Mus musculus: one gene and its partners. The protein of the gene in region 6 purifies or fractionates together with the protein of the main gene of each other region. This does not show direct contact. Links are inferred from orthologs where the notes say so. Each region holds a gene or a part of one and is shown on either strand. Other genes may lie near its edges.

The links.
Region 1: the proteins of E2f6 (region 6) and Max purify together in Homo sapiens (affinity purification with mass spectrometry; 5 studies listed by BioGRID and IntAct, with this or other methods). This does not show direct contact. The link is inferred for Mus musculus from reciprocal best matches to the Homo sapiens genes E2F6 and MAX.
Region 2: the proteins of E2f6 (region 6) and Mga purify together in Homo sapiens (affinity purification with mass spectrometry; 3 studies listed by BioGRID and IntAct, counting the BioPlex papers as one, with this or other methods). This does not show direct contact. The link is inferred for Mus musculus from reciprocal best matches to the Homo sapiens genes E2F6 and MGA.
Region 3: the proteins of E2f6 (region 6) and L3mbtl2 purify together in Homo sapiens (affinity purification with mass spectrometry; 5 studies listed by BioGRID and IntAct, counting the BioPlex papers as one, with this or other methods). This does not show direct contact. The link is inferred for Mus musculus from reciprocal best matches to the Homo sapiens genes E2F6 and L3MBTL2.
Region 4: the proteins of E2f6 (region 6) and Wdr5 purify together in Homo sapiens (affinity purification with mass spectrometry; 4 studies listed by BioGRID and IntAct, counting the BioPlex papers as one, with this or other methods). This does not show direct contact. The link is inferred for Mus musculus from reciprocal best matches to the Homo sapiens genes E2F6 and WDR5.
Region 5: the proteins of E2f6 (region 6) and Cbx3 purify together in Homo sapiens (affinity purification with mass spectrometry; 4 studies listed by BioGRID and IntAct, with this or other methods). This does not show direct contact. The link is inferred for Mus musculus from reciprocal best matches to the Homo sapiens genes E2F6 and CBX3.
Region 7: the proteins of E2f6 (region 6) and Yaf2 purify together in Homo sapiens (affinity purification with mass spectrometry; 4 studies listed by BioGRID and IntAct, counting the BioPlex papers as one, with this or other methods). This does not show direct contact. The link is inferred for Mus musculus from reciprocal best matches to the Homo sapiens genes E2F6 and YAF2.

The regions. Positions count from the first base shown.
Region 1 is NC_000078.6:76,959,449-76,963,665, forward strand, and holds the start of Max (protein max), read right to left. Parts: upstream 2,801-4,217; 5' UTR 2,578-2,800; coding exon 2,542-2,577; intron 2,532-2,541; exon of another isoform or gene 2,337-2,531; intron 1,842-2,336; coding exon of another isoform or gene 1,815-1,841; intron 1-1,814. UniProt on the Homo sapiens protein: Transcription regulator. Forms a sequence-specific DNA-binding protein complex with MYC or MAD which recognizes the core sequence 5'-CAC[GA]TG-3'. The MYC:MAX complex is a transcriptional activator, whereas the MAD:MAX complex is a repressor.
Region 2 is NC_000068.7:119,924,728-119,928,227, reverse strand, and holds part of Mga (MAX gene-associated protein), read right to left. Parts: intron 1,850-3,500; coding exon 1,507-1,849; intron 1-1,506. UniProt on the Homo sapiens protein: Functions as a dual-specificity transcription factor, regulating the expression of both MAX-network and T-box family target genes. Functions as a repressor or an activator.
Region 3 is NC_000081.6:81,673,889-81,677,388, reverse strand, and holds part of L3mbtl2 (lethal(3)malignant brain tumor-like protein 2), read right to left. Parts: intron 3,458-3,500; exon of another isoform or gene 2,493-3,457; intron 1,875-2,492; coding exon 1,757-1,874; intron 1,132-1,756; coding exon 997-1,131; intron 565-996; coding exon 476-564; intron 1-475. UniProt on the Homo sapiens protein: Putative Polycomb group (PcG) protein. PcG proteins maintain the transcriptionally repressive state of genes, probably via a modification of chromatin, rendering it heritably changed in its expressibility.
Region 4 is NC_000068.7:27,518,147-27,521,646, reverse strand, and holds part of Wdr5 (WD repeat-containing protein 5), read right to left. Parts: intron 3,019-3,500; 5' UTR 2,936-3,018; coding exon 2,855-2,935; intron 2,299-2,854; coding exon 2,190-2,298; intron 1,905-2,189; coding exon 1,831-1,904; intron 1,321-1,830; coding exon 1,231-1,320; intron 1,075-1,230; coding exon 985-1,074; intron 820-984; coding exon 736-819; intron 1-735.
Region 5 is NC_000072.6:51,469,128-51,473,415, reverse strand, and holds the start of Cbx3 (chromobox protein homolog 3), read right to left. Parts: upstream 2,801-4,288; 5' UTR 2,677-2,800; intron 2,165-2,676; exon of another isoform or gene 1,906-2,164; intron 1,601-1,905; 5' UTR 1,572-1,600; coding exon 1,548-1,571; intron 1-1,547. Other genes in the region: Hnrnpa2b1 (heterogeneous nuclear ribonucleoproteins A2/B1), read left to right, coding at 3,740-3,745.
Region 6 is NC_000078.6:16,809,804-16,813,964, forward strand, and holds the start of E2f6 (transcription factor E2F6), read left to right. Parts: upstream 1-1,404; coding exon 1,405-1,512; intron 1,513-2,445; exon of another isoform or gene 2,446-2,569; intron 2,570-4,043; coding exon of another isoform or gene 4,044-4,109; intron 4,110-4,128; exon of another isoform or gene 4,129-4,161. UniProt on the Homo sapiens protein: Inhibitor of E2F-dependent transcription. Binds DNA cooperatively with DP proteins through the E2 recognition site, 5'-TTTC[CG]CGC-3'. Has a preference for the 5'-TTTCCCGC-3' E2F recognition site.
Region 7 is NC_000081.6:93,334,136-93,338,334, forward strand, and holds the start of Yaf2 (YY1-associated factor 2), read right to left. Parts: upstream 2,801-4,199; 5' UTR 2,648-2,800; coding exon 2,622-2,647; intron 2,331-2,621; coding exon 2,205-2,330; intron 1-2,204. UniProt on the Homo sapiens protein: Binds to MYC and inhibits MYC-mediated transactivation. Also binds to MYCN and enhances MYCN-dependent transcriptional activation. Increases calpain 2-mediated proteolysis of YY1 in vitro.

The DNA of each region.
Region 1 (4,217 bases), about 60 Mb from region 6:
GAGAGTTCTTGTTCGTGTGAGGCAGAATCTCATGCTGTAGCCCAGGCTGGAACTCATTCTATATCCCAGGCTGGCTTAAAATTCAGGGAAGACTCCTGCCAAAGCCTCAGAAGCCCTGGGCTTACATACTGGGCCACAAGCCTGGACTCTGTGTTGTGTATGTTAAGGCAGGGTCTCAGTAAATTGCTCGAACGTTTGATCCTCCTACCTCAGCCTCCCCAGTAACTGGGTTTACCGACCAGAACCACCAAGCCTAGTTGCATCCTGCAAACTCTACAAGTTCCTAAACAGCTGTGTCATATATCGTTTAAAAATCAGGTAACTAGAAGGTAGAGAGATAGCTCAGTGGGTAAAGGCACTGAGGTCAAACCTGATGACCCTAAATTCAATCCCCAGACCCATGTGTTTGAGAGAGAGAACTGAATCCAAGTGGTTCTTATGACCTTCACATGTGAGCCATCACATACACGTGACCACACAACACTCACACACACATACATACATACATACACACATACATACATACACACACACACACACACACACACACACACACACACACGTTAAGTAAATGTAATTAAAAAAATCAATTAAATAGGCTGAGGTTGAAGCTCCATGGCAGAGGGGTTGCACAGCATGCGAGGGCCCTGGGTTCGAATCCTAGCACAGTCAAAAGTTAAATGCACATAAACACACCCAAAAAAGTAATAATCTGTGTTTCAAGTATTTTAACATTTCTCATAAACTTTGAGGTTCCAGGGATAGGGCTCAGCCCTGAAGGAAACAAAAAGATCTGGCAGCACCGGGCAGCACCGATCACTCTCAGGTAGCAAGCAGCAGGGGCAGGTGGCTACGGACTTTTTAGAAGGGGTGTACATCCTCACCTCTTCCTTCCACCCTTGACTAGCTGTTACCTGGTCCTCACGGGTAATGAGGACCTCACTCCATTCTCTTTCCCTACCATTTCCAACCATCAAATATTCCATCTCTCTCTCTCTCCTCTGGTTGTATTCTGAGTCTATTCCTTCTCTCCTCTCTCTCTCTAATCTATGCCTATTTACTCCTAAGTCTCAGACTCCAGACAAGAAAGCATGGGGTCAACCCAAAGCCAGAAACACCTACAAAAAAACCCCATTAATATAAAAAAATCTAATAAGTTACTGATAACATTATATGGATGCATCCATCACCTTTCAGCAAAGCTGTCTCTAACAGTGCCACTCTTCAACATTTTTTTTCTTCTCAAATGGAAAGTCAAGACCACAAAAAGCTGTGCCACTTTCAATATTTAACTTCTAGCGCCTCTCTTTTTTCCATTGTCGTTTTTTGGGGAATATCATGCTTTTCTAGATCCTAGGAGTCTGCAGTAGTCACATGACCTTGGCTAAAGGCGATTATTACATGTGCCTGCAACTTCACACAACTATGGAGATACTGCTTAAAGTTTACCTGCTCCTAAATAAAACCTAGCCAGTTTGCTCTGAAATAACACTACCATTCACTTCAGAATGCCCTTCCATTTCTCACATATCTCCGCCGCACTGAACACTACAGAACAACTCAGTTCACAGCACAGGCCTCCTCACTTGCCTGCCTACCTACCTACCTACTCACTAGAATCTACCACCTGAATATCAAGAATCATGTGGATTTGCAACGCCCCCCTCCTCCAACCCCAACAGACTCAACCTCACCTTAGCGGTTAAGAGGAGTTTACAAGAGTATTAAAAGTAATAGAACGATCTCTTTTTCTGACTCCAAAAAGAACCAAAACTGAACGGAAATGAAAATGAAATGGAGAGTAGGAGACGTACCGCAGATTGAAACCTCGGTTGCTCTTCCTGGAATAAGAGAGAGAGAAAAATAGAAAATACAGAAGTTATTTTCACACTTCGAATTCAATAATAAGAAAGAAAATGCCGGCGGCGGAGGAAGCAGCGGGTGGGGAGTCAGTCTGACACCCCTCCCTCCCTCTTTCCCCTTCCACTCTCTCCAGCGAGATCCCGTAGCCTAGTTGGGGGGGGGGGGGGGGGGGGTTTCAGGCACTGCCCCTCCTTCTGGGATCCGAACCGGACAAGAGGGATCCGGAACACTGCCTGCTCTCCCTCGATCCCTCTAGGGCGTCAGAGCACTCCCAGCCCCTTCACCCCAAGGATCAACCGGTCACAGGAGGAGGGAGCTCATGGACCCAAAGAGCAAGAGCTGAGCGCTGGTCTCCTTGCCCAGGATCCGGAAGGATAATGGGATCCCCAGCCGGGCAGAGCGGAGAGGGAGGCCTCGACACCCTCCTCCACGGGAGAATGTGGGGGTCCCAGAGGCCGCGTGTCTGCTCCCACCTTCAGTCCCAGGAGGCCTCTCCGGACAGGACTGGAGGGGAGCGAGCCTGGAGCGCGACGCAGGCGGTCCCGGCCCCGGGGGGAGGGGGAGAAAAGGACGGAGGCGGCGGCGACCCGACCCCCTCCCGCCGTCGCCCGGCTGAGAACCCTTGCCGCTGTCCCCGCCTGACAACCCGAACGGAAAGGAAGAAGCCCCAGGACTCACGTCGCTCTCCACCTCGATGTCATCGTTATCGCTCATTTCCTACGGCCCAGGGAGCGGCCACTGCAGCGGCGGCCGGGGAGGGGAGGGGTGGAGGGAAGGGGGAAGTCACCGACAACAACAAGCCGAGTGCCCCCACGCACACACTCACTCACTCGCTCACTCACTCACACACACTCACGCACACACAACACGGGCGACAACCACCTCACTGCAGCACCGGATCAACGGCGGCACGCACGCCCGATCGGCCCCCTAACACGTGACCGGGCTCACCGCGCCGGGGTAGCTGAGACTTGTAGTCCTCGAGCGTCGGATGGGCGAGTGAGAGAGAGCCAGAGAAACTACAAATCCCATCAGGAACCGCACACAGGCTTCGCCAGACTCGCTTGTTGACAGAGCTCAGGGCGCCTGCGCCCCGGGTGTTGGCAGCGAGAAGTGGCGCGGTGCCTCCCGGGAGATGTAGTCCACAGACCGCGAGTTGTCAGGAGATTTTCCTCCCCAGGCGGCGGAGAGGCTGCTGGGAAGACAGGACACGTGGAGGGAGCTGGGCTCCTGGAGCCGGCCACAATTCCGAGCTCTGGGCGCCCGGCCCAAGGGATTGGGTGGAGGCTCGGGGGTTTGGGGGCGGGGGGAGAGAAACTGGCTGCCAAAATAACACTGTCTCTTCTTGGCTAGACTGCTTTTACATTGTCTCGTTTAATGCTTGAGTCGCTCCACTTGCGCCCTGGGGCGTAACCCTCCCGGGAAGGAATCACGCTGTGGCTGACCAGGGGGCGCGGTCGAGATGCCCACGCGGGCCCTCTGTTATCTGGGTTTAAGGTGTTAAGAGACATTACGGGACAAACTAAAGGACCGATTTCGCCGGGTGTCCTTCATCTCAAGAATCTTGCTTTCATTTGTCCGAGAGAACTGTCCTTGCTGGGCTTGAGTGTTTACAAAACCTCTCGTAGGTGCAAGTAAAACCTACCTTCTGTTTGTTGTAGCCGGAGCAGATTAGGGAGTGCCCCAGTTTATAGAGAACTTTAATTAACTGCAAAAAGAATCAAAACGGGAAAGTTGTGCAGCTCCCTGTCCAGTTAAGGTCATACATAATGCAACGAGGTATGAAGTGTAACTACATTGTCCCCACCCGCATTTAGCTAAGTATCTAATATGTGGCAGCCCAGGAATGGCATGATGTGTCCCCTCAAAGACTTCACAGCTTTGAAAGCAAAAACCGGACTACCCTGTCACCATTTTCAGTGTGCACCAGGTCCTCAATGAAACAACAAACAAACAAACAAACAAACAAACAGTAATAATAAGGTCATCTGAGAAATTAACCAGACTACCACTTTACAATTGATCTTCAAAATGAGTGCGGTCTTGAGTTTGATTTATGAGTTAATGTTTTTTGAGTAAAAAATCATTTAACCCCTGACTATTGAGTGCAGAAACTTGGTGGTGTAATACAATCTTTCTGACACCTAGCCCAGGCTGGCCTTAAATGTCCGTGTGGCCAAGCCTAGTGATGAGAACACAGTCATAAGCAGACACTGACTCGTAATAGAAGTCAAGGGCTGTAAGGGAGACAAAGATGGTAAGAGGGTTTTTTGTTTGTTTGTTTGGTTGGTTGGTTGGTTTTTCGAGACAGGGTTTCTCTGTGTAGCCCTGGCTGTCCTGGAACTCACTCTGTA
Region 2 (3,500 bases), on a different chromosome or scaffold from region 6:
ACTATATTCTAAAAACCACAAAGCCTATCAACTCATCATCAAAAACATGCTTGTGATTAGTGCTTACAGAATGTATATAAATAACCCTTTAAAGAGGAAATGTAATTGTACTTCACTACATTTATTCCAATTGTTCATATGGACTCTCTTTACTTTTACTAATTGCTCAAATTTTTACCACAATGTTTACTGATTTGGTTACTGAATTTCCTTGTACCAAGATCTTTGCCTTCTTAGTCTTCTTGGCTTTCACTGACTGTGGCATACATCATCTACTCATGAACATCACCCAAGTTCTGAAACATGGTTGGTCTTTTTAAAATAAATCTAATACATTTTAAAACATATTCTTATTAGTAATTTGTAATTTCTACTTCAAAGATACTATTTTCCAGTCTATCAATGTAGCTAGTATGCAGAGATGTTTTTCTACCTTGTTGGGTAAATTTACTTTTTATTAAATGACACTTTATGCTTTTCTTCCAGTGGGGAGACAACTGAGACAGAGTATCTTTATTAACTAGCCTAGCCTTGAACTCAGCTATCCTTCCTCAGCTTCCTAAATGCTGAGGTTACTGGGAGCCAGCATGTTTAGAGAGATGTATAGTGAATACACAACAGAGGGATAGAGAGTTGACTCAGTGGATGAAGTGCTGCCATTCAAGCATTTAAGACCAGAGTTTGAGTCCTTAGAACCTACATAAAAGCTGGGTAGGAAAGACAGCCACCGGTATCAGTTCTTGAAAGGTTGAGATGGGGAATCCCTGGGGCCAGTTGCTAAACTGAGTAAGAAACCATGTCTCCATAAATAAACCAAACCAGGGTTCAGTTCCCAGCACCCACATGATGGTCCAACCATTTGTAACTCCAATTCAAGAGGATCCAATGTCTCTTATGACCTGAGAGCTCCTACATGCAGATGATACAAACATTTGGGCACACACAAACATACATGTTTAAAAAATTAAAAAACAATTTAGAGGGGATTAAAGAGTTAGTTCAATTGTAGAGGGCTTTAGTTAGCAAACATAGGGTCTTGAGTTTAGTCCTCAGTGCTGAGAAAGAGGATAAACAGCCCCCACCCACATCATGTACACACACACACACCCCCTGGAGATTTGTTGGCCAACCAATCTAGCCACATCAGTGAGCTCCAGCTTCAGTGAAAACTCTCCAAAACTTCAGAGGGCCAGTGAGATGACTCAGCACATCAGGAACCTGCCATCAAATCTGACAACACAAGTTCCAGGCCCAGGACCCACAAGGTAAAGGGAGAGAAATGACTCCTTCAAGTTGTTCTCTGTTTTCCACATTTACACACATACAAAATAAGTAAGTGTAATGTTGAAAACTTATTTTAAACAAGTGGAAAGCAAGTGAGGAAAATACATGACTTCAACCACTGACCCCTCTACATACATTCACAGAAATGAGTATATACACATATCAAAAATATACACTTATAAAAAAAATAAGATGACAAGTTTTAAGTCAACTAATACTCACTGTATTCGAGCTTCTTTCTCTTCTTTTTCTCCTTCAATTGTTCCTCATCTTCTCTGACTCCTCCTCCTTCCCTTCCTTCCTCTCCCAGCGTATCATAAAATAATGGATCTCGATTAGCAGCCTTCTTATGGAAATGCTTTGTTTTAGATCCCCCTTTAACCAACACAACTTTTCTTTTCAAACAAGTGCAACCAAACATGCAGTCTGGTCGACGGCAGTGAGCAGGTTGGCGCTTTTCCAAAGCTAGACTAGAGCACACACAACCCAGGCGACAGAAGTCATTGTTGCATGGAGGAGCTCGTTTCCTTATGATTGTGTGGATAGGTTTAGTTTTGAGAGATGCCTAAAGTTAAAGGAGAACATTAAAATTTTACTAAATCATCCCAATACTACCACCAACTTAAGAGTCACATACTCATCTACCTTCTGATTACTAGTACTAATAACACAAGACTAACACAGAATTCAAAAGTCAAACACATATAATGAGGGCTCTGCGTAAAGAAGCTGCCACTCTAATGCATTAGCAAAGGAGTCTTATTAAGAGCAAAAACACCAAATATTCTCTTCACTCAATAGAAACCACATATAATGTTCTTCTGTAGGGACTGATGAGTCTAAGGTACATAGGTCAAACAATGTCTCATACGATTTTCCTGAAGCACAAGCAAGCTCATACTGCCTAGAATAGAACATCCTAGTAATAACTCTCTGATAGCATATATGGTCCGCAAAATGCAAAATAATTACTACTATTTTACACAAAATGTCCTAAGTAAACAATAAAAATAAGAGAATCATACATGCTTGAATCTTTATAATGACTAGAAAATACAGTACAGGGAGTTGACTCAGTGGGTAAAGCACTGACGTTCAAACATTTAAGTCCAGAGTGTGGCCGGGCAGTGGTGGTGACGCCTTTAATCCCAGCACGTGGGAGGCAGAGGCAGGCTAATTATTGAGTTCGAGGCCAGACTGATCTACAGAGTGAGTTCCAGTTCCAAGACAGCCAGGGCTACACAGAGAAACCCTGTCTCAAAACAAACAAACAAACAAACAAAAACAAACAAACAAAAAAAAAACCAACAGAGTATGGATCCCAAGAACTTACATAAAAGTTGGGCAGGCAAGATCTAGGATCTCTAAGTACTTTGGGGACAGAGATGGGGATTCCTGGGGCCAGCTGGCTAGATAAATTAGCTCACTTTAAGAAGAGATCCTGCTTCCATAGATTATGGGGAGAGGGACACGTGACATGAACTTTTACCTATAAACACCGGTACACATGTATATATGATCATGCATAGAAGAAACAAACACCCATACATGTACACCCCCCCCCACACACACACACATTACAGGAAAGCATATACTGCCAACATCTCATGATCTTCAGTTCTACAATTCAGTATAGACTTTTATTTTTAATTATTGTATGTGCATGATATACAAGGGTGCATGTGCCATAACACAGAAAACAGTCAGAAGACAAGATTATGCACTGTTTCTGGGGATTAAACTCAAGTCACAAAGTTTATGCACAAAGCCTGTTTACTCACTAAGCCAGCTTGTTAACCCCATTTTTTTTAAATTTATCTGTGTCACATGTACAATGTAGGCATGTACAACTGTGTGGCTATGCCAACCCCCATGGATATACATGTGAAGTCCAGGGACCAGGGCTAGGCACGTTTATGATTTTCTACCTTTTTTTGGTTTGTCTGAGTCAGAGTCTCACCATGTAGCTTGGCTACTCTGGCATTCACTATGTAGATCAGGCTGACCTTGAACAGGCTTCTGTCTCCTGAGTACTAGGATTAAACACATATGCTAAGCCAAATGTTGTATCCTACACCCTTAACCCCAGCATTTGACAGAAGCAGCAGACAGATGTCTCTGAATTCAAGGAGAGCAAGGTCTATAGAGGGAGTTCCAGGACAACAACATAGTGAGACTGTCATAATAATAACAACAACAACAACAAAACTAAAGGC
Region 3 (3,500 bases), on a different chromosome or scaffold from region 6:
GACTTCAGTTCAGGCCTCTGGGTTCCTTCCTGAACTCCTGCCCTGATCTCTTGGATGTGGAAGTATAAGCAGAATTAGCCGTTTCCTCTCATGGTTGCTTTGTGGTTAGGGTTTTATCACAGCAATGGGAACCTCAGATACATTGAAAATGCAAGGGCAAGAATCTGGGATGTTAAATCCCAAAGGCCAACAAAGCAACATAGTTGATATGCTGTACCAGGGTCTTGGCAGGGAGGCAGGTGGCCAGCAACTGCAGCAGCACTGGGCTGAAGGCTGCCCAAGACGTCTCAGAAGAGTATTTTGATGGGGAACGAGGGGCTGTACACATAGTGCTAGTGTATGGAAATCCCTAGGTCCCACCCCCAGAATCATAAAAACAAAACAAATGCCTGAATCATATGAAGGATGGAAAAACTGACCGATGGAAGTGGGAGGAGGGAGGGAGGGAGGGAATGAGCTGGGAACCCAGCCAGACCTTGATATGGAAGTCTGCAGGAAGTGTCCTGGAACCCACCAACCGCTTCATGAGGTAGCTCTTCCAGTCAGTAAACTTGGCATGGATGGCTGCAGAGACACCGGCAGAGACTGTTGACACAGACTGATCACACCTTCACCAACCCAGAGATCAGCTACACAGACATAACTATTAAGTTCTGCAACTTCAGGCCAGTGATGACATCATCTTATAAAACCAGCCTCTGGGAGCCAGAGAGACAACTCCCTGGTTAGATGCACTGGCTGCTCTCCCAGAGGACAAGGGTTCTGTTCCCAGCACCCACATGGTGATTCACAACATCTCTAACCCCAGTTCCAGAGGATCTAACACTCTTCTGACCTTCTAGCACACACAGTGAACAGACATTCACTACTCAGGCACACAATACCAACAAACAGGCTCTATAAATGCAAACTGTCCAGGGACTTCTAGACTGGGTAGGGAAGGCTTCTGCCCAGAGCCCTACAGGAGCCAGGATGGGAGCTTTCTCCTGAACTCACTCCGTGGAGGTACCAGGATCTTGCTGTTGATGGCACACCACCCAATGGGGTGGACATCCACAGTTCCCAAGTTGCACCAGAAGTCATGACTGGCGTCATTTTCAAAGCCTTCATATCGGAGCAGCACCCGGTACCCTGAAAGGACAAGGGACTTGTGATGTGGGGAAGGCATGGGACCTGTGACATCGGGAAGGCAGGTTCTCAGACTTTCTTCCTTCTCTAGCACCAGCCAGACTTCCTACTTCCTATCCAGGAACTCCTTCCAGGCTAGTGGGGTCCCCGACATACAGAACAAAACAATATCCACGCTGCACTCTTAGAAAGCATCCTGAGCTGGCGATTGCTCCTATGCCCTCATCATCCCCAGAATAAACCTTATAAAAAAAAAATCTAGGTGGTGGTGGTGCACACCTTTAATCCTAGCACTCAGGAGGCATAGGCAGGCAGATCTCTGAGTTTGAGGCCAGCCTATTCTAGACAGTGAGTTTCAGGACAGCAAGGGCTACACAGAGAAACCCTGTCTCAAAAAAACCAAAACCACCAACTAAACATTTAAAATACGTAACAAAACAAAACTAACTTTCAAGATTTAGCCCTGTGTTCTCATCTAAAGGAGGAACATCCCTAAGAAGGGGAGAGAAAGCTCATGGGTGACATTTTGATTTATGAAACCCATTTCACCCTCTAACACTAACCACCTACTAGATACGACACATGGCAAACAAATTTCAGACCCTGCCGTGGCCAGAACAGCACCCACCAGCTGCCTGGATGACAGTGGCGATCCAGTACACCCGGCTGGGGAGCACAGCATCGCTGTTGAGCACTTCCACCTTCATCCCCTTCATGACGTCTTCCCACTGGTCATAGAGGGGTACCTGTGATGATGAGAGCATTGGTGGGCTGAGAAAAGTGAGCCCCATGGGCCTGGGCCCACTGTCCTCTGACCCTCACCCCACATCATGCATGGTGCAGAAAACTAGGAATAGAGAGATAAATGGGGCATGCCCAGTGTCCAGAAACATGGAAGCACCATCAGGGAGGGCCAGAGACACAGACCTGCTTCTCATCAGTGCAGGGCCAGCTCCTGACTATCAGTGTGGACACTGTGGTGCACCTGGGTATCTGTCGTTTGGCCAGCTGTACCAGTGACTCAGCACAGACATTACCTCCCTAATACCATTCCACCTGGGCTGGCAGAGCTGGCAGAGCACACCCACAGCCTACCCCGTCCCTTCCTACTGGGTGGCTTCTCCGACCTTCCCAATGCTTAATCCTTGATTTGCTGCCAATGAGAACCTGATGCTCCTTTAGGAAAAGCATCTTCTTTCTCTCTCAGACCTGACCTAAACCACTAACAACCCATATCCCTAGGTGACAGGTTCACAGGGACCTGGGGAAGCACAAAGAGGCCCGGACACACGGAGCAAGCACTTTATGGAGCATCCTGAATCTTACGTTAAACATGATCTAGTTCCCTACAATAAAAAGGCTGGGAGGACGCAGTGCCCAACATGGCGGCTGCCTGGCCCGCGGGCCGGGCTTCCCCAGCAGCCGGGCCTCCGGGCCTTCTCCGCACTCTGTGGCTCGTGATGGTCACCGAGGGACACTGTGGGGCTGCTGCCTCTGGCGCTGTCGGGGGCGAGGAGAGGTGTGAGGACCTCAGGGTGGGACAATATATTTGTAAAAAGAACCAAAAATAAATGATGCTACGCAAGAACCAGTTAATTGTACAAACTACACAGCTCATGTTCAATGTTTTCCAGCACCCAAAATAACTTATAAAGGATTTGAGTGGTAATGAAACACATTTTACTGGAAGTGAAGTCGGTTTTCTCAAGCCCATAACTTGCCGAAATGTGAATGGCTATTCGTACAAAGTGGCAGTTGCATTATCTCTCTTTTTGGGATGGCTGGGAGCAGATCGATTTTACCTCGGATATCCTGCCTTACGCTTGTTAAATTTTTGCACCGTAGGATTTTGCGGAATTGGGAGCCTAATTGATTTCATTCTTATTTCAATGCAGATTGTTGGACCTTCAGATGGAAGTAGTTACATTATAGACTATTATGGAACCAGGCTTACAAGACTCAGCATTACTAATGAAACATTTAGAAAAACCTAGCTGTACCCATAAGTGTTTAATAAGATAAACAGATTTGAGCCTCCCTGATTTCAATCAAGAGCCCTGTGTGCGGAATTCCAGATTTTTCTTTTCTTTTAATATCACTTTATGGGTTCTAGATGATGTTTTGACATGTGCTCAACCTTGATTTGTTGATTTAGTTAAAATATACTATTCCAAGATTTAACAGTCTTTCTTAAAATCAGTATACTATTTTAGTGGACTTCTGTCTCTATGAGATAGCTCGTCCATTACTGTTACTATTGTATTACTGTCATGTTCTTTACATGTCACTAGTCATTTTTATTTGTGAAAAAATAAAAAGATAATTTATTTTAAAAAAAAGGCTAGAACTAGGAGAATTTGGGGGCAAGAGAG
Region 4 (3,500 bases), on a different chromosome or scaffold from region 6:
GCAGGACATTTTCTTAAATTAGAGACTGATGGGAGGGCCAGCAGAATGAGCTGGTGGTCCTGAGTTCTATAAGAAACAGGCTGAGGAAGCCATGAAAAGCAAGCCAGTAAGCAGCAGTCACTTTTTTCTGAGACAAGGTTTCTCTGCGTAGCCCAGGCTATCCTAGAAGTCATACTGTGTAGATCAGGCCTACCCCTGTCTTCTGAGTGCCAGCACTCACTCACTCACTTCTGCACTCACTCACTCACTTCTCCACAGCCTTTCTATCAGTCTTGCTTCCAAGTTTCAGCCCTGCTTGAGTTCCTGCCCTGACTTCCTTCAGTGATGGGCTACAATATGGAAATGTAGGAAAAAAAACCCTTTCTTCCTTAACTTGTTTTTGGTCATGGTGTTTCATCATAGCAACAATAACACAAGCTTAGGACACTCCAAGTTGCTTTTGGCCACTGTGTTTTATCAGAATAATAGAAACCCTAGGATCTCACCTCACTCACTTAAAATTCTCATGACTCCCTATTTTCCAAACTGTCAGCCCATTTTGAAAAAGCCCATTCAAGGAAGGACACCCCTCTTGAAAAATCCCTGTCATCTACCTCCCAGCCCACAGAGTGCCCCACCTACCACCCACCACCCACCACAGCTCACAGGCCTCTGGTCACTGGGATGCTACACGTGAGCAAATCAAGTCGGCTCATCCAGAGGAACTTCTGAGGACAGGCCAGGAAGACTACTTACGGCTGAGACTGGGTCCGAATGGGCAGGCAAAGTCTTGAGGCACTTCCCTGTCTTCACGTCCCATATCCTCACACTTTCATCAAACTAAAGGTGAGACAGGACATTAAAGTGATTCTACAGGAACAGGAGCAGCAACAGTGTGATCTCAGACCCAGAACCTGTCCCCACATAAAAGCCAAACTGCCTACCCCAACCAAGCACAATATGACACTGTACACATCACCCTTGGAGGAGAAACCACGCACTTACAGACCCTGAGACGATGAGGTTGGACTGGGGGTTGAAGTTGCAGCAGAAGACGTAGTTACTGTGGCCCTTCAGGGTCTTCAGACACTTCCCCTAGAGCACACATAGCATACCAAGGTCTGTGACTTCCAGGGGCTGAATCTCCAAATACAAGCTTCTTGTACATTTGAAGACCTACCCAAGACCAACCATCTACACAGCCAACTCATCTCAACTATGGGCACTCCCTGGAAGACCAGTGTCACTTACGGAACTCACGTCCCAAATCTTCAAAGTTTTATCATCAGAGGCAGACACAAGGAGGTTAGAATCTGATGACCACGCTACATCAGATATTCCCTTGGGAAGGGAAAAAAAAAACAGTTGGTTTTGAGGGACAAAAATCCAAATGACCAGTAAAAGATCAACCCTACTAACCTATACACCATGCTGTCAGGAAATCCAGCCAGTGTTAGCACCACAAAACACCTGGCCCAGAGGAAAAGGCCAGTACTTTCAGCTCTACCAAACTTCTTAGACTCACTCCCCTGTGGAGGCTCAAAGTGCTTGTGCTTGCACTAAAAATATAAGCAAGCCAGGTATGGTAGAGCAAGCCCGATTCTTAGGCAGGAGGATTGCAGTTCCAGACCAAATTGGACTACTTGGTAAGGCCCTGCACCCACTACACTTAAAAACAGTCCTGACAAGCCCAAGTGGTGGTGGTGCACACCTTTTAATCCCTGCACTAGACAGTTGGATGCAAAGGCAGCCAGATCTCCATTTGGATCTCCAAGTTGAAGGCCAGCCTGAGTACAGCAAGGGCACCCAGCCACCCTGCTCAACACCTAGTGCACCTAATGGGAAACTTACCAGTTTGTGACCAGATATAGTTTTCTCAAACTTTCCATCATATGCTCCCCAAATTTTAATGAGTTTATCAGCAGCTGAAAGGAATGAAAGGGAGCTGAAGTCAGAGAAGGCTGTGGCTGTACAGTCACCCAAAGGAAGGAGGCCTGAGTCACTCAATGAACTAAGTATGGACACACAGAAGTACACCCTTCACTGCAGAGGGGCAATAGCATGTGAACAGGCAATTACTTCAGTTCCATACAAACATGCTGAATGCTAACCAACCCAGAGACCAGTAACAACTAACACAGTCCAGCCTCCTCATCCTCCTTCCTCCAACAAAGTTCAGACGCCTCTCCAAAGGACTGAAGGATACTCACATGAACTTGCCAACCATTCCCCATTGGGGCTGAACTTCACAGAGGACACAGCTTTGGTGTGGCCAGCCAGGGTGAACTTCAGGGCATAGTTTGGCTTAACTGGTGTGGGCTGGAGGAAACAGTACAGATTAGCCAGAGGCAACTACCACCACCCAATCAACCCACTTGATTCCCAAAGTGTAATCAAGCACTAGCTGGTTCCAAACTCATACACAAGAACTTACTATAACCTTATCTGATGTCCCCCTTTAAACTGCCAGTGTGAGCCTAGCACCTCTCTTGAAAGCCCCGACTTTCCCTGAAGTACCTTAGCACACCAAGAATTTGTAATTTTTTTTGGTATGGTGGTGCATGTCTTTAATCCCAGGAAGGGAGAGGGAGGCAGAGGCAGTTGAGTCTCTATGAGTTCAATACTAGCCTAGTCTACATGTCGAGTTCCTCACCAGCCAGGGACTATAGGGGAAACCCTGCCTCAAAACAAACTGTACTTTTTGATAAATACCCTCACCTCCATCTTAGGTCTGGGACTCCCTGGTGTGGCACCTGACTGCTCTGTGTGACCACTGTTGTGTGCTCAGAAATACTGGCAGCATACCTCACTGGGCAGAGAAGCCTAGATTAATAAAATAATGTCCCTGAGAATCTCTCCAGCCTGTGGGACATACCTTGCTCTGTGTGGCTGATGAGGAAGGAGTGGGCTGTGCTCTTGCAGCCTCTGTCTCTGGCTTCTTCTCCTCTGTGGCCATGGCTCTGAAGCCCACAGGGCAGGACACCGTGAAGGGGGAGTCACAATGGAAGAGGCTGTCAGCTGAACTCTATAGTAAGGGGCCTATAAACAAATCCTCTCTTTAACAAAGGTTGTTGGAGAAATAGTTCAGTAGCTAAGCTCGCCAAATGCAGTTCCAGAAGACCTAAGTTTGATTCCCACTTGTGAGCTTACAACTATCTGTGAGTCCAGCTCAGAGGATCTGGCATCCTCTTCTGGCCTCTGTAGGGACTGCATGCACATGGCACACAGACTTACATGCAGAGAGGGAAAACAAAAGTTAAATAAAATTTGCCCTGATGTGGTGGCGCACGCCTTTAATCCCAGCACTTGGGAGGCAGAGGCAGGCAGACTTCTGAGTTCCAGGCCAGCCTGATCTACATAGTGAGTTCCAGGACAGTCAGAGCTACACAGAGAAACACTGTCTCGAAAAAAAAAAACAAAAACAAAATAAATAAATAAACAAACAAACAAACAATGATTCTGGGGCTGGAGAGATGGCTCAGTGGATAAGAGCACTGACTGTTCTACCAGAGGTCCTGAGT
Region 5 (4,288 bases), on a different chromosome or scaffold from region 6:
TGCTACTTAAAAATTTTTTAAAGGAATCACAAAAATAACCCCCTATCAAATGCCTAGTCCCTCTAACCATCACCAAGTGAAGGATCACGCAGGAAAAAAAAAATCACCAGCAGCACCTCAGAACCAGGATACTCAGTCCATCAGCATCCAGGGCCATACCCACACTCACAGCATCTCCACAGTTTACCAGATGATTCATGCTTATCACTGTATTGGGTCATCTAAGAGTGACCATCAGGGCTTCTGATCACAGAATCTAGTCCACTTTGCAGACCAGTTGAAGTCATGCACTATATGAGATAGAAATACCCTCTTGCTCATTTTGGTCAGAAATTCAAGGATAAAAACCCATGTTTTGTTAATGCACACCTCCATATGATTGAGATCAATGTGTCCTAATTAATGTAGAAACCACAACTGTAAATTTCACTCTTTTGACATGAATCTTTTTCTAGACAGGGTCTTGGATGCAGCCCCGACTACCCAGAATTTTGGAATCCAGGCTAGCCTCAAACTCAAGGCAATCTGCTTGCTTCAGCTTCTCACAGGCTGGATCACAAACATACACCTTCAGACCCATTTTTTTTTCCTCCCTCCGTTTTTGGTTTCTCTGTGTAGCCCTGGGTGTCCGTGGACTCGCTGTGTAGATCTATCTACCAGCCTCTGTCTTGGAGTACTGGGATTAAAGTTGTGGGCTACCACTGCCTGGCTGACCCAGTTTTATTTATTTTAAATATAACTTGACAAAAATAAATTTGTCTAACTTACTAGAAATCCCAAGAAAACTAACACTGGATTTAGCAACAGTCAGAAATCGCTGAAAAGAAACAGAATTGATCTAACAGTCTTAGATCACTCCTAGACAGTTTGTAATTCTTGCTCATGGCAACGTGAGCTCTATCTAACTCACTCTCTGTGCACTAATGAATGCTCAGTGTCTCCAGAACAGCACAGCTTCCAGGGTAATCATGCCAACCCACAAGACTTTTATAGAGCTGTCCACGACTCTTCCCCCATTCAGCTCATTAACAATATGATGGAGCTCCTGTGTGGAAATCAAGGCACACTCTGGTAGAAACTTGTTTTTTCTTTCCACTTTTCCTTGGGCTCTGAAGATTGAGCTGTTTTATAACCCACAAACATGCATTTTTTACCTCAAAAGCATCCAGCAAAAACTGTACAACGCTTTTTCAAAAAAATGTATTGTGATCCTCCTTAAGAAAAGCCTTACTTAGTGTTAATTCCTTTTTCTTTAGAATGCTGGTAAATACAAGGACTTAGGTAGGCTGGCTTCTAACAGCAATTCACCCACTTATGATGGGATTAAAGGAAGGCACAACCATGTCCACCACAGGTTCTAGCTCCCCCACCCACACGCCCAGAGAGGGTTTTTCTGTGTAGCTCTGACTATTCTGGAATTCACACTGCAGACCAGGCTGGTCTCGAACTCAGAGATCCACCACCACATGGTTTCTTAATTGTAATTTTAAAGAAAAAAAAAAATCCTTCAGTTAAGATTCTTATGTTCTAGGTTTTCACAAACTTACCAATGTAGTTTTATTGGAGGCCATTTTTTAAATTTAATCGGAGACTTGAAGAGCTATTGCAAGAAAAAAAATGTAGGACAGTTAAAATTTCATGACACACAAAAGGCAGCTACAAGTTTTGTGTGGATTTCAACATGTAAATTTCGGGTAAAAATGCAGGAAAACAGTTGAGTTCCCGTGTTATTAGTATGTTACTAATAATTTCAGTATGTTAGTGAAAATAATCTTACTAAAACACTGGTACCTCAGACAACTTTACATGGTGAGGATTGTTACTTTCCCAATCCATATAGAATTTTAACAATTTTAGTGTTTATTTTGGATGAAAGGAAATGACTATCTTTTGTTAGCAAATTACCATAAGATCTTTTTCTTTAGATTTCTGAATACTCCAAGGAGCTCATATAATTCCATCCTTATTTTTTCAGAGGCCCTCCCTGTTCAATCACGGTATAAAAAAAGGAACACATTAAGATGTCCCAGTCCTATTTTCTGGCTTTTTTTTTCCGGGGGTGGTGGTGCGGTAATCACTCTCTATAGTCCAGTCTGGGCTTCAACGCCTGGCAATCCCCAGCCTCAAGCTCCCAAGTACTGTCCTGATAAGGATAGAAGGAGTCGACCTCCTTCACGCTCCCCTCCGAGGAGGGCTCCTTCCCAGCTCCATTCCCCGGTCGGGAGCCCGTCCCCCACCCGAGAGCGCGGGCCTCGTGGTCAGCGCCTCCGCGGGGAGAAACAAAGGCGGCGGCGGGGGCTCAAGGGCACTGCGCCACGGGCCCGCGCCTCCCCCATCCGGCGGCGGCCACGTAGCCGGGAGCGCGCCGCAGCCCGGAGCCTCGGGCCTCGCAGCTGCAGAGCCTGAACCGCTCTCTCCCTGCGGGCCTGCGACGAGGCTGGGGGAGGGGAGGCCCGCGCTTTGTCTGGAGTCTCGGTAGCTGTCATCCGGCTCCCACCCTCATGCACAATTGTCCCATCTCCCCCACGCACCGGCGCGGCGCCCGCCTCAGCGAGGCCCCAGCCGGTTTCCCGCAGCCCGCGGCCCACGGGGCTCGCAGCCTCCCCGCAAGCTCGGACGCACGGAGCATCCTAAACCCCACCACACGCAAGATCGAAAAAAAGCAAAGGCACGAACTTCACCGCTCCGATGCTCAGGGCCGCGGATCCTGCAGAGTCTCCCGCCTGCGCGCTTCGGTTCAGCCACATCCGAGGGGAGGGGGCGCGGGCAGCTCCGCCGGGGGGGAGGGGGAGCACCGCCCACGCCCTGGCCGCGCGGGGCCCGCCGGGAACGCGTCCTGCGGGGGGCGGCGCGCGCAATGCTCACCGTCCGCGGCGTGGCGCCCAGGGGGTCTCCTGGCTGGGGGGAGGGGGGGGAAGGCGGGCAGGAAGGACCGCGGAGGCCTCTCTGCGTCTCGGAGCGCGCCAAAGCGGGGCTCCACCCACCTCCTTGCCCGGATCTTGAAGGCCGGGGAGATAAACAGCGGGGTTCTTTAAGCACCACCTCTCACTAGGCGCGGGATCCCAAGGCTTGTGGCATCCGGGGTGGTACTTGGACTAAAAGTCCTTCTGGGAGGGACCGAGTGAGAACCCCTTTGGGACGTGTAGAAATATTTGTGTGGTTCGAGAATATTTGTGCGGACGGGCTTGGCAAAGGCGTAGCTGCAGAGAGCACGCTTGGGTGGAGAGGGCCGCACGCCCCAGCGCCGGCCTAAGCCCCTCCCGACGGCGTTATTTCAAACTGCGCGACCGTTTCTCCGCTCCCTACGCGGAGGTGGGGGCCGGACCTAGTTCCGGACGTAGTAACACGCCGAGCGCGAGCCTTCCGCAATTCACGGAACACAGTTGCGCAAGTGATGTAAAGCAGTCCCGCTGTACCTAAAGGGGGAGTGTCACGTACTTGGCGTAAGGAGAGTGTAGGCCCTTCCCGCCATTGGCGGCGGTTAGGGCGTTTACGTAACGGCGTGACGTAAGCGGAGACGCGTTAGTGGGGGGAAGGTTCTAGAAAAGCGGCGGTCTCGGCTCCAGCGGCAGTAGCAGCGGCGCCGGTCCCGTGTGCAGGAGCTCCTTTGCGGCCCAGTTTCTTGGCCATCGCCTGCTCTCCCCACAGCGCCAGGACGAGTCCCGTGCGCGTCCGTCCGCGGAGGTCTTTCTCATCTCGCTCGGCTGCGGGAAATCGGGCTGAAGCGACTGAGTCCGCGATGGAGGTAACGGGTTTGAAATCAATGAGTTATTAAAAATGGCATGGCGAGGCCGTAGGCACCGCAATGGAAACCGGCCACCCGCCTCCGTGGTCCGGCGGAGGGGATGCGGCCACTCGAGTGGCGGTTGGCCTTGGCGAGTTTCTGAGGGGTCGTTGGAGGAGGCCTCTGATTGTCCGACCGCCTTCCCCGCCCTCAGCCGCCCGGCGCCATTTCCCTCAGTTGGGGTGGGGGATGGGAAGTGCCCGCCGCGACCGGGCTGGACCGCTAAAGTAGCGCGTGAGCGGGCCATCGCTGGCCTTTCGATGTGCGCGGGCCTAGGGGCTCGGTTGTGTTCGCGGCGGAACGTTTCTGGGGCCCCCCCGGCTTCCCGGAGCGAGTCTGCGAAGCTTCCCCTCCCCCCTCTCCCGGGAACCGGATTTGGCGGCCGCCATTTTCCCGTCTCCTTCCTCGCCACGATTTTGCTTTCAACGCTTTAGGTTTACTAGTTTGGTTTTCTTTTTTCACCACTGCGTAGACGTGTTTAGCGATTTTCCTTTCTTTTGGAAG
Region 6 (4,161 bases):
AGGGCAGGAAAGAAGCTACTTAAGAAAGGGAGGTGGCAGTTTACTGGGGCAATTTTACAGAGACAGGTTTTTGAGAGAACAAGCTAGTAACTTCGATCAGTAAGAACTCTCCACATTACAAATTTAGAAACTAAGGCACAGAACGACTTTTAGAAACTGGCTTAAGACCTTACAATTTGAAAAGATACCTATGGCTCCAGGTCACTTACTTCTCTTTTCTTTTCTCTTTCTAATTTAGTTTCTGTGCATAGAAGTTTTGCCTACATGTATGACTGTCTAACATGTTAACATGTCCGTGCCTGGTGCCTGTGGAGACCAGAAAAAGAGCATTAAATCCCCCTGGGCCTGGAGGTAACATATGGTTGTGAGCCACCCTGTGGGTGATGGGAATTGAACTCAGGTCCTCTGGAAGTTCTCCTAAACTTAGCCAGTGCTCCTCTCCCAGCCCGTTAAACTGTTTTATCTTTCTCCTCCATTGGATTCTGATATCCAGTCTATTATATTCAAAACAGTATCTTCTTGAGCCAGCCCAATACCTGATATAATAATAAGTAATCAAAAACTGATACAGAGCCGGGCAGTGGTGGTACACGCCTTTAATCCCACTTGGGAGGCAGAGGCAGGCGGATTTCTGAGTTCGGCTACACAGAGAAACCCTGTCTCGGAAAACCAAACCAAAAATAAAATAAAATAAAACTGATATAGAGGGTAAAGTTTGTGGTTTTGGGACAAATTCTACTCTCACTACGAACTTTAGCTGACTTCGAATTCAAACACGTGATCTCCCTGCCTGGGCCTCTGTGGAGCTTGGCTTTGAAGCTTGCACCTTCTGGTCCCTCCAAGATGGCTTGTTTCATGAGCATGTGCTAAGCACCTTTAGATGACTGATGGGAGCCCCACCATCATCGCCCCGGGGCACTCAGAACCTGCAGTCCGCTGGTTGGGACTAGAGAGCGCCTGCTCCGATCCCCCGGAATCCCTGCTCCACCTCTTTTCTTCCCCCAACCCATCCCACCACACACACCCCCACCCCCCGCCGCCGCCATCCTCTCCAAGGATCCATCCTCCGGAACACCCGGGCGTCGGCAGCGGGCGAGGACCGGTGTGCGCGGGAGATCTAACGGACGGCGCTGCGCATGTGCAAACGCGGGTGCACTGCGCATGCGGAAAGATGGCCGGCCAGGGAACCTGAGCGCCTCCGCGGTCACCCTGGTCCCCTCCGAGCCTACCCTGACCCCCTCTGCGCCTGGGCTCATCGCTGCGCGAGTGGGACCGCGGCGCTTCGTGGGTGGAGCCGCAGTGCTCCGTGGGTGGAGCGGGCGGCGCTGAAGGGGCCGGGAACGCGCGCGCCGAGCCTCCGGGGAAGGCGGGAGGGCGCGTGGGGCGCGAGGGGCGCGGGACAGCATGAGTCAGCAGCGGACGGCGCGGAGACAGCCCAGCCTGCTGGTGGACCCGGCGCAGGAAACGGTGCGCCGGCGTTGCCGAGACCCCATCAACGTGGAAAACCTACTGGTGAGCGGGGACCCGGGCCACGGGAGGTCAAGTGCTGTGGGACGCGCTCCTTGCATCGGGCCCTCTGCACAGTGTCGCTTGCTGCCCCGGGGCTCTCCCTGCAACTCCCAATTCTTGAACCGCCCTTTGCTTTTTAAATGTTTCTATTGGATTTTTCTTACTTTGTGTTGGGGTGGGGGCCGCGAGCGCGTGGATTCCACGGGGCACGTGTAGAGTTTAGAAGGCAACTTGGGGCAGTCTGTTCCATGCTTCCAGCCTTGTGGTTCGCGGGATGGAACTCTGGTAGAGTTTGTAAAGCTCGGTGGCAAGTGCCTTAACCAACTGGGCGATCTTGCCTGTCCATCTTTGCTGTCTGACAGGGGAAATGAAAGAGTGAGAAAGTTCCCTCCGTTCCGTGCTTCCCACCTTTCTCAGGGTCCCTGCTGGATTCTTCCTTTGTCCGTTTCTCCTGATCGCTGTTTTCTCAGCAAGGCAAGCTGTATCCAAGCCATTCTGGCGGGTCCTGTGCCATGAGCATTGTCTTGTCTGACTCCTTGGAGCAACCTTGAGATAGTTATTTTTAGAGTTTGTCAGAACTGACCCAGAGATGTGTGTACAGAGATGTCTGGCCTTGGGGCTAGGTAATGAGGAAACTGGGAAGACCCTCAGAATGACTGCAAGTGACAGCCTTTCCCAAACTTCTCTCTCTCTCTCCCTCTCTCTCTCTCTCTCTCTCTCTCTTTAAGTAATTTCTGCTCAGTTTCCACCTGATCTTGCATTACCACCCAGCACTGTGCTGGGGACTCTAGTCCTAAGCACTTGGTAAGATTGTTGTAAATAAGATCCGTAGGTCACTGATGGTTTTGTCAATTACAGTATTCGTTTCACACCCTATCTTGTGTCATAACTAACCACTCACTTTTGGCTGAGAACTCTTTGTTGTGTTTTTGACAGCCATGGTGGGTCCCCTTGTCCCCTTCGCCTTCCTTTTCAGACACGTGGGTGTCATCCAGGATTCTCTACAGTTTGTTCATGTAGGTGACCGCTCACTACTGCTAACTTGTGGCCTGTGATCATGGTAGGTTTTTTTTTTTTTTTAAGGATTTGATAGACGCTCTAAATGAAAACCGCTTAACTTTTGGTTATCAGAAGATAACGTCTTCTAAAGTCTTAGATTTCTTATCCAGTCTGGTATTTTTAGTTGCCTCGAGGTAACTCCCAAACCTGTACATCTTTCCTGGAGCTCTCCAACTGTTTGTTAGATGTCCCTTCTTAAAAAAGAAAATGTCTTCGTGGATGCCACGTGTGTACTGGTGCCCACGGAGGCCCGAAACCAGTGTTAGATCACCTGGAGCTCATAATAAGTGGTTATGAATTGGCACATGGATGAACTGAGCCCTCTGGAAGAACAGCGAGCGTTTATAACTGCTGAGCTGCAGATTTCAAACTCTGATATCCAAAGCCAGATTCACAGACACACCCCACCCCACCCCCGCCTTAAGAAAGCAACCTCTTTCTCGAATCCCACCTTAATGGTGCTCTGCCTATCGTGGTGCCTGAGCCAGCACTCTGGACATGGCTGTTACCTTTTCCTCTGTTTCAGAATCACCCCCAGACACCCCCCCTCCCACCCCCAGGTCACTGAAGTCATTCACATCAGCTATTCTGTGCTATAATGCCATCTCGACCAGTTTCCTGCCACTGTTGCTGCCTCTCACTCACCGCCTGTGTGCTTCATCCTTAACGTATGGTCTCTTGAAGGTGTGTTTCTATCTTCATTTGGCCAAAGGAATTAGTGGTTCCTTAGTGCTCCCAGGACAAAGTCGAGTCCTCGCAGCATAATCTGGCTCCATGTTTGCCTTTCCTAAATGATCTTTCTGAGGTTGCATGCTCCATCCTAGGCCTCATTTCCATATTGACGTTTGTCAAGATGTCTGAAGTCCAGATTCATGGGTAACTTGTCTTAAGACAAGTGTCTTTAGCTCCTCTTTACCTCAAGACTGTTAGCCAGACTCTGTGTGTCCCAGAGCAATTCTATACTTGACTGCTCAGTCCTCTGCGGGTCTGTTTGATACTGTAGTGAAGATCTGGCCATGGACAAAGGATTAAGCAAGAAGTTAATAAAGTAGGGACTCTATTTTCTTGCCTGTAAAATAGTGACTTAACATGTCAGTAGTATTTTTTTAATTGACTAGCAAATGCAAAGAATTAATAAGCCATGTGCAGAGCAGTTACATAGCTTGCTAAGTGTTGTTGCCAGGATAAGTTAAATGGCTTAAACCTGCTCTTGGCTTTGGGGAGCAGGGAGAAGACAATCCTGGATGGAGGTGAACTTGGTTTGCACATTAGATGATCAGGAAGATCTGGGTGGTGACATGAATGCAGTCACCTTAGAGAGATTCGTGTTCAATGAGCTCTTGAAGGAGTCTTGCTCCCACACAGGGAGCTAATACAGAGAAACCTATGCATAGAGAGCAGTAACTACTTAGGAGGCAGTGCCTAGGACATTAGTCTCTAAAAGTCACTTTTTATTTTTCTCTCCACCTTTAAAGCTTCTAGCCAGGTGTGGTGGCCCAGTTCTGTAATGCCAGTCCTTGGGAGGCAGAGACAGAAGGATGGTGAGTGAAAGGCCTAACTAGGCTATATAGCAAGTCCCAGGCTAACCTGGAT
Region 7 (4,199 bases), on a different chromosome or scaffold from region 6:
CATCCTATCTGCCAACAGGCACATCAACTGGGGGAACAATGTCCCCCGACCACTCAACTCTTGCCTTCCATCTGTGTCCCAGTCCTTCACCTGGTTTCCTGTCACTCCTAAGAGGAAACACTGTGCATGTAACCAGCATCTACTTATTAACAAGGCCATGTTCTACTGATCCATCCAAACACTGTGCATGTAACCAGCATCTACTTATTAACAAGACCATGTTCTACTGATCCATCCAAACACAGATCTCGGGGCGGGGGGGGGGGGGGGGAGGGGGGGAGCAAAGGGAAATGTAACAGACAACAGAGAAGTTACAACTCCTGCCATTCACTTAGGGGTAAAGTCAAAGGAGACAATTCAGAGAGAGAGAGAGGAAGAAGCTCAGAGGGACACCGTTCTGAGCACCTACTTTTAGGAACACGGTGTCCCTTAGACTTCTGGTGAGGGGCCCAGAGCCTCTTCAGTTTCAATCCAAATGACAATGCTTCTCTGAGTCCTCCTCAAGTAATGTTTCCACCACTAAAAATTGGATCTACTGGTTAAAAACAAAAACAAAAACAAAAACAAAAAGCCAGGGGCCTGCAGGTGGGTCTCAGGCCTCTCTAAAGCAGGCCCACTTCTGTTGTGGGCCAGCTCCCCTGTGTGCTACAATCCTCCTTCTTCCAGGAGTCAGGGACTCAGCCTGGTGCTTCTCTTCTGAGTGTCACCACCTACTCTACTTCTCGGGGCTCCTCTAACCCCAAGACTGGCTGTGGAGTAGGACACACCAGCTTGCCCCCATCCTTGCTGTCCCTGCAAATAAACAAATAGGCTCTTCTAATCCAGTGTTCGTCTAAAAGTATGAGAGGATACAAGTAAAAACAAAAGCAAAAAAAAAAAAAAAAAAAAAAAAAACCCAAGTCAAATGATCTCCATATTGCTCATTTACAAATACACATATATTATACACTAAGCCGTTTCCATCCTTATATAGACATATACACCGTGCTTTCCAAAACACTTAAAACGTGAGTCCAGAAATAGCAAGTAGTTTCTCTTTTTAGAATCTTTCCTTGAACTTAAAAGGGATTTAAAACCTTGCTTTTTAATAGACACCAAGAAATACTAAAAATATTGTATTCAATGTAAATGAGAATTCGTAGTAAAAACCTATTGAGATTTATGACAGGTATGTCAAAAACAACCAGTATTGTAGAAACAATAAAATCCTGACATGTCTCTACACTTACAATGTTAGTAAAATTCTATAAACTGAGTTTTTAAAAAAAAAACAGGATACATCATTTTTAGAAATAACTTTGACTATTTAGAATGTCAAAATTATACAGGCCCTCTGTTTCAAACAGAAAATTCCCCGTATTCTGTAATCATTTGTATTTGAATAGGCTTCATAGCAGCAAAATAAATGCCTTACTTAAATATTGCTACAAATCACTGTAGAAGTGGATTTAAAGGCGGCCTTCCCAAGGGAACTATGACCAAGTGGAGACAGATCAAGAATGCTACTGAGTTCGAATTTCCTAAATTTAACTCTTTTAAATGGTTTTTTTTTTTTTTTTTGGAAAGACAATTATAATACTATATGCCTACCATACAACAAATCCAGGGCCGGCAACAGACAAAGATCATGTCATCTCGTTTGTGTAAAAATATCCAGGCACTGGAGTAAAACTGCGTTGCTGGGTTCACCTCCCAACCAACTACTTAACTGTAAAAAATTATTACAGAAATAGAACAACAACAAAAAAAAACCCAGACGCGAAACCTTGGCCTGACCCTTTCCGGACATCCGTTACTAAGAAAGTTTAATCCATTACGATCCTACAAGCGATACTTTTTCCCCAGGGGGACCGAGTGACATCGCGGCCTTTCCTCCGTCCCCTCCCCCGCCCCGGCTCCCCGTCCCCGCCCCCTCCCCGCACACTAACACCACAATGCGACCAGCGATCACGGTCTCTGCGCCCGGCTGGGGAGGGGGCACCGCACCGGCCACGCATGGAACGGCACGGCACGGCAGCGGCCGGCGACCCCCATGGATAATTCATCCTCCGCAGCAGGCGCCACCGCCGCCGCCACCGAGCCCTCGCCGCCAGCCGCGGCTCAGCCGGGTCGCGCCCCACCGCGGCCGCCGCCTGGCTGGCCGCCCCGCCGTCCCGCGTCGCGCGGGGGGCCCCGCGGGGGATCCACGGGCGCGCCGGACTCACCGGGTGGAGGTGCCCTTCCGCACATCGCACATCATGCACTTGAAGGCCTCGGCGCTGTTCCGGAAGGTGCAGACACTGCAGTCCCAGTAGCCCTCATCCGAGGCGGGCTTCGGCTGCCGCTTCGGCCTGCAGGACACAACCGGACACGACGCAGCGCGGGGTCAGCCGCAGGCCGCGCCCGGCCCCGCGCCCCGCCCCGCCCGGCCCGCGACCCCCGCCCCGCCCGGCGCCGCGCGGGGGAGGGGAGCGCGGCCGCTGACCCCGGCCGCCATCGCGGCCCATTGTGGGCAGCCGCGCGCCCCGCCGCGCCGCGCCGCACCCCCTCTCCCCACACACACGCGCGCGCCCCGCGCCGCGCCGCTCCACGCCACGCCACGGGACCCCGGGCCGCGGGCGCTCCGCCGGCGGGCGCCCTACCTGGTGGGGCTCTTCTTGTCGCCCATGCTCGCTGCCGACGCGCGCCGGTCTGTCAGCGCCGGGGTGAGGGGCCGGCGGAAGCGCGGAGGCGAGGGGGCGGGGAAGGCCGCGCCGCGAGCTGCAGCCGCCGCCGCCGCCGTCGCCGCCGCCGCTGCCGCCGCCGCCGCCGGATCCCACGCAGCCTCCAGCTGTCGGGGAAACTCCTGCCTGCGCGCACGTGACCCGCGCCGGCCAACCAGCGGCCGCGCCGGAGACTTCAAACGCGGGGAGCGCGGCCCAGCACCGGCGGCGAGTTCGCGGCGCCGCCTCCCTCCAGCTCGCCCGCCCGCTGGCTGCCCCGGAGCGCTCCGGCCGTGGCTCGCACGCCCCGAAGGGCGCGATGGCAGGCGCCCGCAGACACGCGTGCGCCCGGCGCGGCGGGGACTGTCATCCTTCCTTCTGGGGAAGCGACCCAGAGGCTCGGGAGAGGTTCGGTGCCCTGCTCTAGCTTACATAATTCAAACGTGACGAAACCAGGGTCTGATCCGGTTTTAATTGCAGCGGCGTCCTCCTGGCCTCACGGGGCTCTGCAGTGGCTTGTTATAAAACGGACGCTCGTGAGCCTACGTAAGGCAGACGAGGTTGCTTGTGCCCTGGACACCACCTCCCCGAGTCTCCTTACTCCAGCCTGTCGGGGATACACACCTCGCCTGCTAGACCCAAACAGCCATCTCGCTGGTCCTTGAAGCTCTGCTTCCCACCTCGCCGATCTGGCGGGTACCCCACAACCAGAGTTAGCTTGACATCCCTCTGATCGAGGGGCGACTTTAGCATGCCAAGTCGGTGAACCGTCATCAGGAAAGCTGCCCCTGAAGAAAGGAGAGATGAAATCCATCCCTTCTCGGAGCCCTGCCTTCTTCTGCCTTATTTGGGTGTGCTGATGGAGGCGTTGTAGCCTCCGCATCAGGCTTAACTAACTGAAGGGGACCCAGTTCAGGCACTGCGTACTTAACAGTTGATCTGACTGTGTGGCTCCTGGGATACTATAAGGTTGTTTAGAAAATGTATCCAGCTGGGCCAGAGCAGGATGGAGCAAATTTTCATCATGATACTCAGAGTGAGATGGCAACTAAAAACTTGAGGAGTTAACTGTTTAGGAAGTCCTTAATATTTTGAACTATATCGTCTGTGGGTAATTGAAACAGGAAAGCAAAACTCCAGCAAAAGGGAGACTACTGTATTGATGTGTTACTTACCAAACAAGAGTTAATAACCAAACTGGAGGATGCTCTCCTTTTTATCATTGGGAATATGATATTAATTGGGGTAATTAAGAGGGAAATAGGCTTCAAGCTTCTGAGAAAAGAAAGTCAAAATGAATTATAGCAGAACGGGTGGGAGTATACAGCTCAGAGATGGAGCACTTGCACAAGGCACTGAGTTACTAGAAATTTGGAAAAGCATTTAAAAGATTGTTTTATGTGGGGTTTGCTTGGGTGCTTAGTATTACTTTATTTTTGCAGAATAGAGAGTCTGACTTAGTTGAGTGTAAAAGTTATATATTAGAGGTTGCGTTAATTTTCCAAGATAAAAGAGGCT